Canis lupus familiaris: one gene and its partners. The protein of the gene in region 3 binds, or shares a complex with, the protein of the main gene of each other region. Links are inferred from orthologs where the notes say so. Each region holds a gene or a part of one and is shown on either strand. Other genes may lie near its edges.

Evidence for each region. Proteins that work in one complex are often made in the same cells at the same time.
Region 1: BUD13 (region 3) and RBMX2 share a complex: the UniProt entries of both Homo sapiens proteins name them as parts of the activated spliceosome. The link is inferred for Canis lupus familiaris from reciprocal best matches to the Homo sapiens genes BUD13 and RBMX2.
Region 2: BUD13 (region 3) and small nuclear ribonucleoprotein E-like share a complex: the UniProt entries of both Homo sapiens proteins name them as parts of the minor spliceosome. The link is inferred for Canis lupus familiaris from reciprocal best matches to the Homo sapiens genes BUD13 and SNRPE.

What each region holds. Positions count from the first base shown.
Region 1 is NC_049260.1:102,430,573-102,434,853, reverse strand, and holds the start of RBMX2 (RNA-binding motif protein, X-linked 2), read right to left. Parts: upstream 2,917-4,281; 5' UTR 2,788-2,916; coding exon 2,783-2,787; intron 2,588-2,782; coding exon 2,472-2,587; intron 1,212-2,471; coding exon 1,160-1,211; intron 1-1,159. UniProt on the Homo sapiens protein: Involved in pre-mRNA splicing as component of the activated spliceosome. As a component of the minor spliceosome, involved in the splicing of U12-type introns in pre-mRNAs.
Region 2 is NC_049222.1:93,812,979-93,815,520, forward strand, and holds small nuclear ribonucleoprotein E-like, read left to right. Parts: upstream 1-1,466; 5' UTR 1,467-1,485; coding exon 1,486-1,764; 3' UTR 1,765-1,926; downstream 1,927-2,542. UniProt on the Homo sapiens protein: Plays a role in pre-mRNA splicing as a core component of the spliceosomal U1, U2, U4 and U5 small nuclear ribonucleoproteins (snRNPs), the building blocks of the spliceosome.
Region 3 is NC_049226.1:16,817,183-16,821,370, forward strand, and holds the start of BUD13 (BUD13 homolog), read left to right. Parts: upstream 1-1,363; 5' UTR 1,364-1,406; coding exon 1,407-1,549; intron 1,550-3,843; coding exon 3,844-3,937; intron 3,938-4,188. UniProt on the Homo sapiens protein: Involved in pre-mRNA splicing as component of the activated spliceosome. As a component of the minor spliceosome, involved in the splicing of U12-type introns in pre-mRNAs.

The DNA.
Region 1 (4,281 bases), on a different chromosome or scaffold from region 3:
CCACTGTTACCAATGGCAAAGACAATCTTCATGGAGAGCAAGGTGTACAGCCAGAATAGAGAATTAGAATAAGCAAACACACTAGCTGATCATCACTCAACGCAAATAAGACAAAAACAGCCCCTATGAAGGCTGGACCAGACAGAGGTATCATAAGGGGTGGAAACTACAGGCTGCACCTGCTGTAAACTTCCAGCTGCCCAGAAGTCAGAGAAAGCAGCCTCTGTCTCTCTTGGGCGCTAAGCCAGAGTGGGCTGCCGAAGCCCTCTCTCATGGCCCTCTCATGGGTACTGCCCAATTTCTTTTCCATGGCCCTCTCCTCCATAAGCTGCTCCACCACTCAGCCACGGTCCTCTTCCTATTGGACGGCCCCACCATCCCCTGACATGGCAATGTCTCCGCCACAGTGTGCTGGCAGTGTTTACTTCCCCAAATCCTTCTGCCACAGTCCTCTGCCCTCAGGGTCCCTAAGGCCCCATGGACTGTCTAACCACTCTGTGTAGCTCTGGGTTGTGCCCAGCCCCTCTCCCACCAGCCGCCACCACCAGTGCAAGATGCTCTCCCACCCAATGCTGCTGCTTTCATCTATGGGCAGAATGAAGAATATAAGGTTCACCTATTCATCCTTGTTCCTCATCAGCCCATAATTCTCAGCTTCTGGGTAAAGAGACCGGTTCTGCTTACTAATCTTATACCCATCTAGAAACAAGAAAACTGCCTAAACTTTTTGCTTTTTCTCCCATTCCTCTGTGCTTTGCCCTAATCCCACAACACCACACAGGTGTAGGCCAGAAGGGCCCTGTGATCATGGATTACCCTTGGGTTTGCAGGAGCCCAAGGAGTCCAACATGGTAGTTTCCTGTGAGTAAGTCTATTCTGGTGTAGGCACAGGCTGAACAAGCCTCACTTAAAAAGCAATAAAAATAGACCAGAATCCCCAAGACAGCCTCCTAAATCATCTAACTTCTTGGATTTTCCATATTGGGAGCTCTATAACCATGTCCTGGGGCTGATCTAGACTAGAGCAGAAGCTCCAGCCCTCCCCATGCAGGGAGCCCAGTCAGACTAGAATAAAACAAATAGACTTTGTGAGGCCACAAAATGTATTAAGCAAGCATAATTTGATGACCCAGAAGGCAGGAAATGAAAAAGGACTTACTGTGAGAACACACAGATAATGTCCCCTTCAGTCAGTTCATAAGGAAGCCCTCCTAGGAGAGAAAACCACATTTCAGTTCCACAAACATTTACCAAGCATCTCCTCCATACCATGCACTAGGCCCAGCAATGTGGGTGCAAAGAAGAGTAAGCCACAGGGCCTGCCCTCAAAGAACTCACAGTCTGACGATTTAACAGAATCATATATAAGGTGCGGCACTAGTGCAGCAAAAGGAGTGATTAACTTTGTGGAAAGGTCAGTGTCATCACTAACCAAATACTCCCCACACCCAAAACCTTGCAAAGCAGACAGTTTGCAGCATAAAACTCTGTTTCCACAAACATATCTTGAACTCACCTGCTCTTTTTTTTAAGATTTTATTTATTTATTCATGAGAGACACAGAAAGCGAGGCAGAGACATAGGCTGAGGGAGAAATGGGAGCCTGATGCAGGACTCAATACCAGGACTCCAAAATCACAACCTGAGCCAAAGGCAGACGCTCAACCACTGATCCACCCAGGTGCCCGGAACTCACAAACTCACAGCTAAGATTACAGCAAAATCAGTTTAAATATGAAAATATTACCCCACCTCACATAGACTAAGGAATCTTTGGTTGTCTATAGACAACTGTTCAGCATTTCATAGGAAATAAATTCCCCTGCAAATCTTTCGTTCCTCATCTGTAAAATGGGGATATTAGTACTTATTTCACAGAACTGTTGTAAGAATTAAATAAAACAATGGACATAAAGTGCTTAGCACAATATCTGGTGCAATAACTTCTTTGCCCAAACTTTCATATTATTGGATGCGACACAAGTGAATACAGAGATGACAATATGGCCACGGACAGAAGGCAGAAGTTAAGTAAATGAGGAAAATGAATTCTGAGGGAAGGAGAAAGGGCGGGGGGGGGGGCGCTAGCAGTAATACAAGATGGTGGTTAAGATCATCAGTTCTAGAATCCCATAGTTCTGGTTGTTCCACTTATTACCCATGTGACTTTAAGGAAGTCCATTAACCTCCTCAGCTATGTAACAGGGGGGCGCGGTATGATAACAGTCTCTGAAACCAAGTGGCAAGGACCACAGTGAACGGCAAAGGTAACTATTATGGTCACTGACTTGGCAGGAGGAGCAAACTAGAAATGGAAGAGAAAAGAGATACAGAAAACGGATTTACGGGGCAGCCAGAAGAAAGAAATCTAAGTGCGTGATGAACGTCAGAAGGAAGGAAAGGCGGGAATGCTGAAAGGTTAGGAAGCGCACCAGGAGAGAATGAGCAGTGCAGAAAGATGTGACTCTCACCCAGGAAGATCCAGGCGCTGTCCTTGTACTCAGAGTGCCAGGACACCTTATCTGCCACCCCAAGCTGGACCTCACGCTCATTCAGCTCGTTGATCAGCTTCACTTTAGTTAAAGGGCTGCAGAGAGAGGCGGAAAAGCGGCCGTTAAGTGCGGCCTGGCCAGAGGTAAGGGAGAGCAGAACTAGAGGGCTAGTTCTCCAGTCTCCGCGCCTCTCCCACCCCTCGGCCCCGCAGGCTCTCTACCACCCCAGCCCCGGTGGGCAACTTCCCGCGGCCGGTCCCTACTTCTTAAGAGGTAAACTGAGGCCTTACTTCATCTCCTCAGGTTCGCGCTCAGCACGGAGACGTTAACTTCCGGGTGAGTCTGTGTCGCGCGTGCGCAGCGCCGATGCCGTGCGCCCATTGGACTCCGCGGAGTTCGCGCTGCGCCACGCCGGAAAGACGGGCGCGCTGGGGAGCTGCGCTTGCGTAGTAGCGCGGAGAGGCCCTTGGCTCGCTCTGCGTGTTTCGCTCTATCAGGGACTCTATCTAGCTTCTCGCTTAGTCCGTCTGTGAAACGCGGCATGGGTGTGAAGCGGGTTTATTACAGGACCCTCAGCTGCTGGAGGACGCCTGGCATTGATTGGGCTAGCTATAAATGTTTACTGAATTGAGATTGAAAAAGGTGCTGCTCTAGCAACTGTAGTCCCTGGCTCTATCCTCAGTGAAAATCCCCTTTCGGGCTTCCACTCCCAGCCAGTCGCTCACGCACACACACCCCTCAAACCATCCCTGATCAGAAATTGCAGCAGAAAAGTGAAGAAGGTATGTGAGAGGGGAAATCATTTTTTTCTCCCTTAAATCCAAATGCATAGGCAACTAACCAGTCTGATCGAATACCCAGATTTGTCTAAGAGCTCACCCTTTTCCCATAGTCTCGCTCCTACTTAAGCAGGAGGCAGAAATAAATAATGAGAAAGCTAATAGTTAAGCATATGCTACGTTGTGTGCTAAGCAATTCACTTGTACTGGCCCTCCCTCCTCATAACTAACCCCATGGAGTCTATACATACAATTACCTTCCTTGTACCGAGGAAGAAACTGAGATTCGAAGGAATTAGTTAACTCAAAGGATGTCCTCTGCCTCTACCTATCAGGTCTTGTTGACTTACTCAGTCCTTACTGAGGATCTATATTTGTCTTGTACAGTAAAATCTGTAGACAGGAATGTAAGGTGAAGTCCTCTGCCCTCTGGAGCTAATGATATCATTAAGGAGACAAAATATATTTGCTTGGTAGATTTCACTCCAGAAATAATGAGGAACCCATAGAAGGTATGGTGGCATACCTTCAGTGTGATATAAGCCATATTGAAGTTTTGAATCCATCTCATATGTGTCCATGTCAATAACTGGTATCAGACCATGCCTGGTCTAAAAGTGAAGTTCCAGAGCTGGGTAGTTCTCTGTGTAGGCCCAGCTTAGAGCCCCAGAAATTAAGCATTTCATAAAAGTACTTTGATGATGGGATTATGACAACTGTACCCTCAATGACCCATCATGTACCCACATCCTGACAAAAGCAGGAGACTCTCCACCAATCAAAGTTTCCCTTCATTCATTCTGTGTTTGTGCCCCCACCCCATCCAGCTCAGCTATTCATTAACTTTATGGAATTATCTTGGCAATGAAAACTAAACAGTGACAGATTGCATACAGGTTTTATCTGCTCCTGGGAATCTGAGGTTGCTTAGATGTAGGGTTGAAGTAGCCACTGCAAAGTGGTAAACTAGCATGCAACATTATCTGGCTGGATTCTTCAGGCAACTGTGA
Region 2 (2,542 bases), on a different chromosome or scaffold from region 3:
TCACCCATTCACTCCCACCCCCCTGCCCTCCTCCCCTTCTACCACCCCTAGTTCGTTTCCCAGAGTTAGCAGTCTTTATGTTCTGTCTCCCTTTCTGATATTTCCCACACATTTCTTCTCCCTTCCCTTATATTCCCTTTCACTATTATTTATATTCCCCACATGAATGAGAACATATAATGTTTGTCCTTCTCCGACTAACTTACTTCACTCAGCCATAAAAAATATTTAAAAGCACTACTTGTAGTTATCCCTAGTCATCATCTCAATGTTATTGGGACTCAGATCACCATCTTATAGTTCAATATCCCAATCTTCTTCTTTTTTTAAAAAAGATTCCAATAAATAAATAAATAAATTAATTAATTAATTAAAAAAAAGATTCCATTCATTTATTCATGAGAGACACAGGAAGAGAGAGGCAGAGACACAGGCTGAGGGAGAAGCAGGCTCCATGCAGGGAGCCTGATGAGGGACTCGATCCCAGGTCTCCAGGATCACACCCTGGGCCGAAGGCAGGTGCTAAACTGCTGAGCCACCCAGGGATCCCCAATATCCCTATTTTCTTAGATGTTCCCTTGAGGAAGGGGATCTGCATGTCTTAGAGGTGCTGGACTAGTGCCCTGTGAGTTTCTTGGAACTCTGAAAGTCTATAATCTCTACCAACTCCTCAGTTACTGCCTTTCATGATATGTTTAACTAATCAGGAAAGGGACAAGGAGCATAGACTGCAGGAGCCAGACAGACTAGTGTATTAATTTTCTGTAGCTGGGTAACAAATAACCATACACTTAGTGGCTTGAACACATACTCATTATCTCACGGTTTCTGTGGGCAGGCATTTAGGGATGGCCAAGCTTGGTGCTATGCTACAGGGCCACACAAGATTGTAATGAAGGTGTCAGCCAGGACAGAGTTCTCATCTGCAGGAGCCAATTCTACATAGGGACTATAATAACTTGGATGTGTAGATTTATGTATTTCATCAAATTTGGAAAGATCTGCTCACTATGTTTTCAAATATTCTTTCTGCCCCTTTCTCTTTCTTCTCTTATTCTGCAGCTCCAATCAGGTGTATGTAGGTACACAGGAAGGCATCCCATACATTTTTGTTTGTTTCTTAAGTTTCTCAAAGAGTGATCCTTAAGCCAGAAGCATTGACACCACCTCAGAAGTTGTTAGAAATATAAATTCTGGGGCACCTGGGTGGCTCAGTCAGTTGAGCATCTGATTCTTGGTTTTGGTTCAGGTCATGTTCTTGCAATCATGAAATTAAGTAAGCCCTGTGTTGGGGCTCCATGCTCAGTGGGGAGTCTGCTTTAGATTCTTTCTCCCTCTCCCTCCCACTCATGTGTTCTCTCTCTCTCAAATAAATAAATAAACAAATAAACAAATAAATAAATAAATCCTAAAAAAAAAAAAGAAATGTAAATTCTTAGGCCTTGTTGCAGATGTATTAAAGAAACTCTGGGGTCCGCTTCCACCATGGCGTACCGTGGCCAGGGCCAGAAAGTGCAGAAGGTGATGGTTCAGCCCATCAACCTCATCTTCAGATACTTGCAAAATAGATCTCGGATTCAGGTGTGGCTTTATGAGCAAATAAACATGCGGATAGAGGGCTGTATCATTGGTTTTGATGAGTACATGAGCCTTGTATTAGACGATGCCAAAGAGATTCATTCTAAAACAAAGTCAAGAAAACAACTGGGTCGGATCATGCTAAAAGGAGATAATATTACCCTGCTCCAAAGTGTCTCCAACTAGAATGAATGATCAGTGAAGTGAGAAATTCTTGAGAAGGCCACGTAGTTTGTTTTTTTAGATGTCCTTTGTTGGGAATATAGTTCTAAAACCCTTGTTCATATTGTTTTGATTACCTTTATGTTCTTACCAGAGGACAATAAATGCTGTGGGATTGTTTTTATTAAAAAAAAAAAAAAAAGAAAAAAAAAGAAACTCTGGGGATGAGGCCCAACAATCTGTGTGTGTGTGTGTGTGTGTGTGTGTGTACGTGCATGCGTGCATGTGTGTGTGTTTTAATTGAAGTTGATACACAATGTTATAGTAGTTTTAGGTGTACAACATAGTATTTGACAAGTCTACATATTATGCTATACTTACCGAAAGTGTAACTACCATCTGCCACCACACAACCCAATTACAATATCATTGATTGTATTCCCTACCCTGTACTTTTCATTCCCTTGACTTATTCATTCCATAACAAGAAGTCTGTACTTCTTACTCCCTTTTACCCATTTTGCCCATCCCCCTAAACCCCCTTTGACAACCACCAGTTTGTTCTCTGTATCTATGAGTCTGTTTCTGTTTTGTTTGTTCCTTCATTTTGTTTTTTTAGTTCCACACATAAGTGAAATCATATAGTATTTGTCTTTTTCTGTCTGAGTTGTTTCGTTCAGCATAATACCCTCTAGGGCCATCCACGTTATTGCAAATGGCAAGATCTCATTCTTTTTTATGGATAATAGTCCATTGTGCTGATGCATCATGGACCTCTACCTCTGAAACCAATAATACATTA
Region 3 (4,188 bases):
CAGGGCTTTGAAAGTTCAGTTTGAGGTCCACCAAAGTGGATTAGAAGCCAACACAGGGTTGTGTCTGGGGGACCCATGGGGACCTCCAGCCAGTGAAGCCCTCTATCAATCTGGTATCCCCACAAGCCCTCAGAGACCCAGTCTGCTTTCCTTCCTGGGCCTCAGCTGGACCAGTCAGGACAACACTGTGGTTAAAAGTTCATCCATCAGGGCTGGGACTTCCACACCTATATTATATATAATTTTTTTTTTGAGCATGTATCCTGGATTCTGAGCAGAGCATTTATAAAGTATAACAAGCAAGCCTTCTTGACTAATAGGCTTTCAAACAGTGACAAAAATTTAACATGTTGAGATAAGGGAAATACTTGATCTAACATTTTCACAAACTTTGGATTTACCTCTTGTACCTCACTTGGCTAGCTTCTGCTCCCAAGGGTCACATTTTGGCTGTATAAAGTTGGACAACTTCCTTAACCTCTCCAAGCTTTGGTTTTTCTCATCTGTGAAACAAGCATAATAAAACCACTTGAGAGATTTGTTAAATGAGGTAATTTATGTAAAATAATGTTCACAAGAAGAAAAGGAGTATGTCCCCTCCCCCCGGCCCCTCCCAACTTGATAATTAGAATTCAGCTTCTCTATCTGGCTGAAAATAGAGCCAGGTCCTTTTCACAGGAAAGATTGCAGGCAACAGATAGTTGGGGGCTACGTATTCTATCAAAAGTGGGGAAGGTCACAGGTTAGAGAAACCTCCATATTTTTTCATGGTAATCACGTTTGGAATTCCTGACCTCTCTTGAATGGTTCGTGGAAGACTATTTAGAGCAGTCTAACCTCCACCTAACATACTAATACAAACAACATACATACTGTGCTTCAGACACTGTGCTAAGCATCTCACGCAGTAAAAGTGTCTCATTTCTCGAAGCCATTTAGTTAGGTGCCATTATACTCCCCAGTTCGTTAATTAAGTTGCCCCCGGACCTACAGTTGGAAGTTTCGGAGCCCGAACTCCAGCTTAGGGACACCGTCCCTCCAGAGCCCGAGGTCTTGACGACGCTATGGTGCTTCTGGAGCTGCTGGGGACAGAGATCTTGTTTGGGTCGTGGTTTTAGCCTCCCGCCAGCTGCATCGTAGGTTGAAGGGGCAGACAGGTGGACAAACCCCTGCCGGTCGGGCCGGCAGGGGCAGGGGCAGGGGGAGGGGGAGGTGGAGGTGCAATCGGAGGCGCGCGCACCTGCGGAGAGCCAGCAAGCGCAGCCGGGGGTCAGCCCGGGGCGGGTCCCACAGCTCTCCACCACTTCCGGCCCCGGCCCCGCCCCCCCGGGGGCCCCCCGCCGTGCGCTTCGCGTTCAGGAAATTTGTCCCCAGCGCCGAGCCGTCTCCCCGCCCCCGCCGCTGCCATGGCGGCAGCTCCGCCGCTCTCCAAGGCCGAGTATCTGAAGCGTTACTTGTCTGGGGCAGGTGCCGGCGTCGACGGGGGCCCGGACTCCGGTCGCAAGCGTCGCAAAAAGCGGCCGAAGCCTGGCGGGGCCGGCGGCAGGGGGTGAGTGGGTGCTGGCGGGGCGGGGCGGGGCCTGCGGCGGCCGGCCGCCCCTCTGCTCCCCGGCTCCGCGCTCGGCCGGCGCGCCCCGCGGCCGTGCGCTCGCCGCCTCCGGCCGCCGGTAACTTTCTCAGGCTGTTCCCGCCCCGGTGGCTTTCCGGCCTCTCCCGTGGAGAGTGAGTGTCGCGCCGAGAGGAACGGCGGGGTCGCCCGGAGCCTGTGATGGCACGGCCGGGGGCTCGGCGGAGTCGGGCGCCGCGCGCACCTGGGGCCGAGTCCTGCGCGGGCGGGCGCCGACCGAGGCTCCAGGATTCCGCGGCGGAGCGGGGCCGCCGTGCCGCTCTCCCGGCGGGTCCGCGCAGGACCCCAGGACGTGACTTCCTTCGGAAGTAGTGCCGCCGCGGGTGTAGCTAATCAAGATGCGGTCACAGCACATCAGGACGGGCGCCAAATCCAGCGTGCCCGGGGACCCCTTAGGAAGGGGGGGATTTGGACGCAGAGATGGGGAAAGCCCGCCGTGTGAAGATGGAGGCCGGCCTTGGGCTGGGTTTACGCTGCCACTAGTAGCCAGAGTATGCGAGTACGCCTGCCGCTGCCAGCAGTTGGAACAGCCAAGGAATCCCCCCGCCCCCAGCCTTCCCAGTGGGCACTGCCTTGCAGACACCTTGATTTCAGACTTCAAGCCCCCAGGACCCTGAGAGAGTACAGTTCTGTTGCCTTAAGCCGCCTGGTTGGCGGCACTTTGTCAGGCAGCCCTGGGGAACCAATACGCCCAGCTCCAGAGACCAAATCCACTTCCTTTTTTTTTTTTTTTTTTTAATTTTTATTTATTTATGATAGTCACACACAGAGAGAGAGAGAGAGAGAGAGGCAGAGACACAGGCAGAGGGAGAAGCAGGCTCCATACACCGGGAGCCCAACGTGGGATTCGATCCCAGGTCTCCAGGATCGCGCCCTGGGCCAAAGGCGGGCGCCAAACCGCTGCGCCACCCAGGGATCCCCCAAATCCACTTCCTTTCGTGGGTTGCTTCTTGCCTGTTCTTGCCCTCTGTCTTCCTGCCTTCCGACTTGTGTCGATTGTTTGGACACAGACAGTGCCATGTAGAGAAAATAGCTTGCTTGACCTCTGGAGTAATACCAGTCAGAGTTTGAGTCCTGGCTGTGCCACGTTGTGGGCTCTACGGCCTTGGGCAACATACTGTCTCTCCAAGACTGTTACCGCAGCTTCCTTTCTTTATTTTTTAAAAGATTGATTATTTATTTATTTATTCACAAGAGACACAGAGAGAGGCAGAAACCCAGGCAGAGGGAGAAGCAGGCTCCATGCAGGGAGCCTGACGTGGGACTTGATCCCTGGACCCTGGAATCAGGCCCTAAGCTGAAGGCAGATGCTCAACCGCTGAGCCACCCAGGCGTCCCTATTTTTTTTTTTTTTTTAAGATTTTATTTATTTATTCATGAGAGACACAGAGAGGTAGAGAAAGAAGCAGAGAGAAGCAGGCTCCATGCAGGGAGCCTGATGTGGGACTCGATCCCAGCACTCCAGAATCATGGCCTGGGCGGAAGGGAGACACTCAACCACTAAGCCACCCAGGTGTCCCGGTTACTGCCTCTTTAAAAGGAGAGTAATACTATCGCTCTATGGTTGTGATTAGAGAGGTATAAAGTGATAACTGGCTGTTCAGATAGAATTGTTCACATCATGGTAGTCATTGTTAATTACTTGGACTCATGCATAGTTTATCTGTGTAACAAACATGTATTGAACACCTACTTCTTATGCCAGTTACTTCAGGGTGTTCAGGATATCACAGTGAATGAGAAGGCATAGTCCCTATTCTAGTGGGCCTTATAGTTTAACAGGGATCCTGGCTTTAAACAGCTAATTACACAACTAACTGATTTATTTTCTTTGTGATTAATGCAATGAAAGTATTCCAAGGATGCATAACAGAGGTTCTTAGTCATGGGAAGTAAGGGGAGAAGCTCAAGGAAGTTAAATGTATCCTAGGACTCTTAAGAGTTTCCCATTAAAGAAAGAAGAGTAGGCCAGGCCGAAGGAAGGAACTGAATATGTGAAAACTGATGTGGTAAGGTATTGGCTCATTCCAGGCACCAAAAGATGATTAGCAAGGTAGGGAACTGTGGAGGCAGTGGTACAGGTGAAGTTGGCCGTATAGGCAAAGACTGGACCTTGCAGAGTCTTGTAGCTTATACTAAATCCATAGATAACTGTTTGTGGGCTGTCACCCAAGAATGATTCTTCCCTTTTTGATCTTTTTATTTTTCATATTTAGAATGCGGATTGTGGATGATGATGTGAGCTGGACATCTATCTCTACCACTAAACCAGAAAAAGAGGAAGAAGATGATGATGGAGATTTGCCTGTGGTGTGTATCTTTTGAGGTTGTGAGGACTTTGAAATGCAAGACTCTCAATCTTGATTCTTAGTACAGGGTGGATTTATAAGGGGGAATGTTAGGGCCCAAAAGAGGTGACACTTTTCAAAGAGCTGTTTTATTTAATTAATTAATTTTTAAAAAAGATTTTATTTATTCATGAGAGACACAGAGAGAGAGGCAGAGAGATAGGCAGAGAGAGAAGCAGGCTCTCTCTGAGGAGCCTGATGGACTCAGGAGCC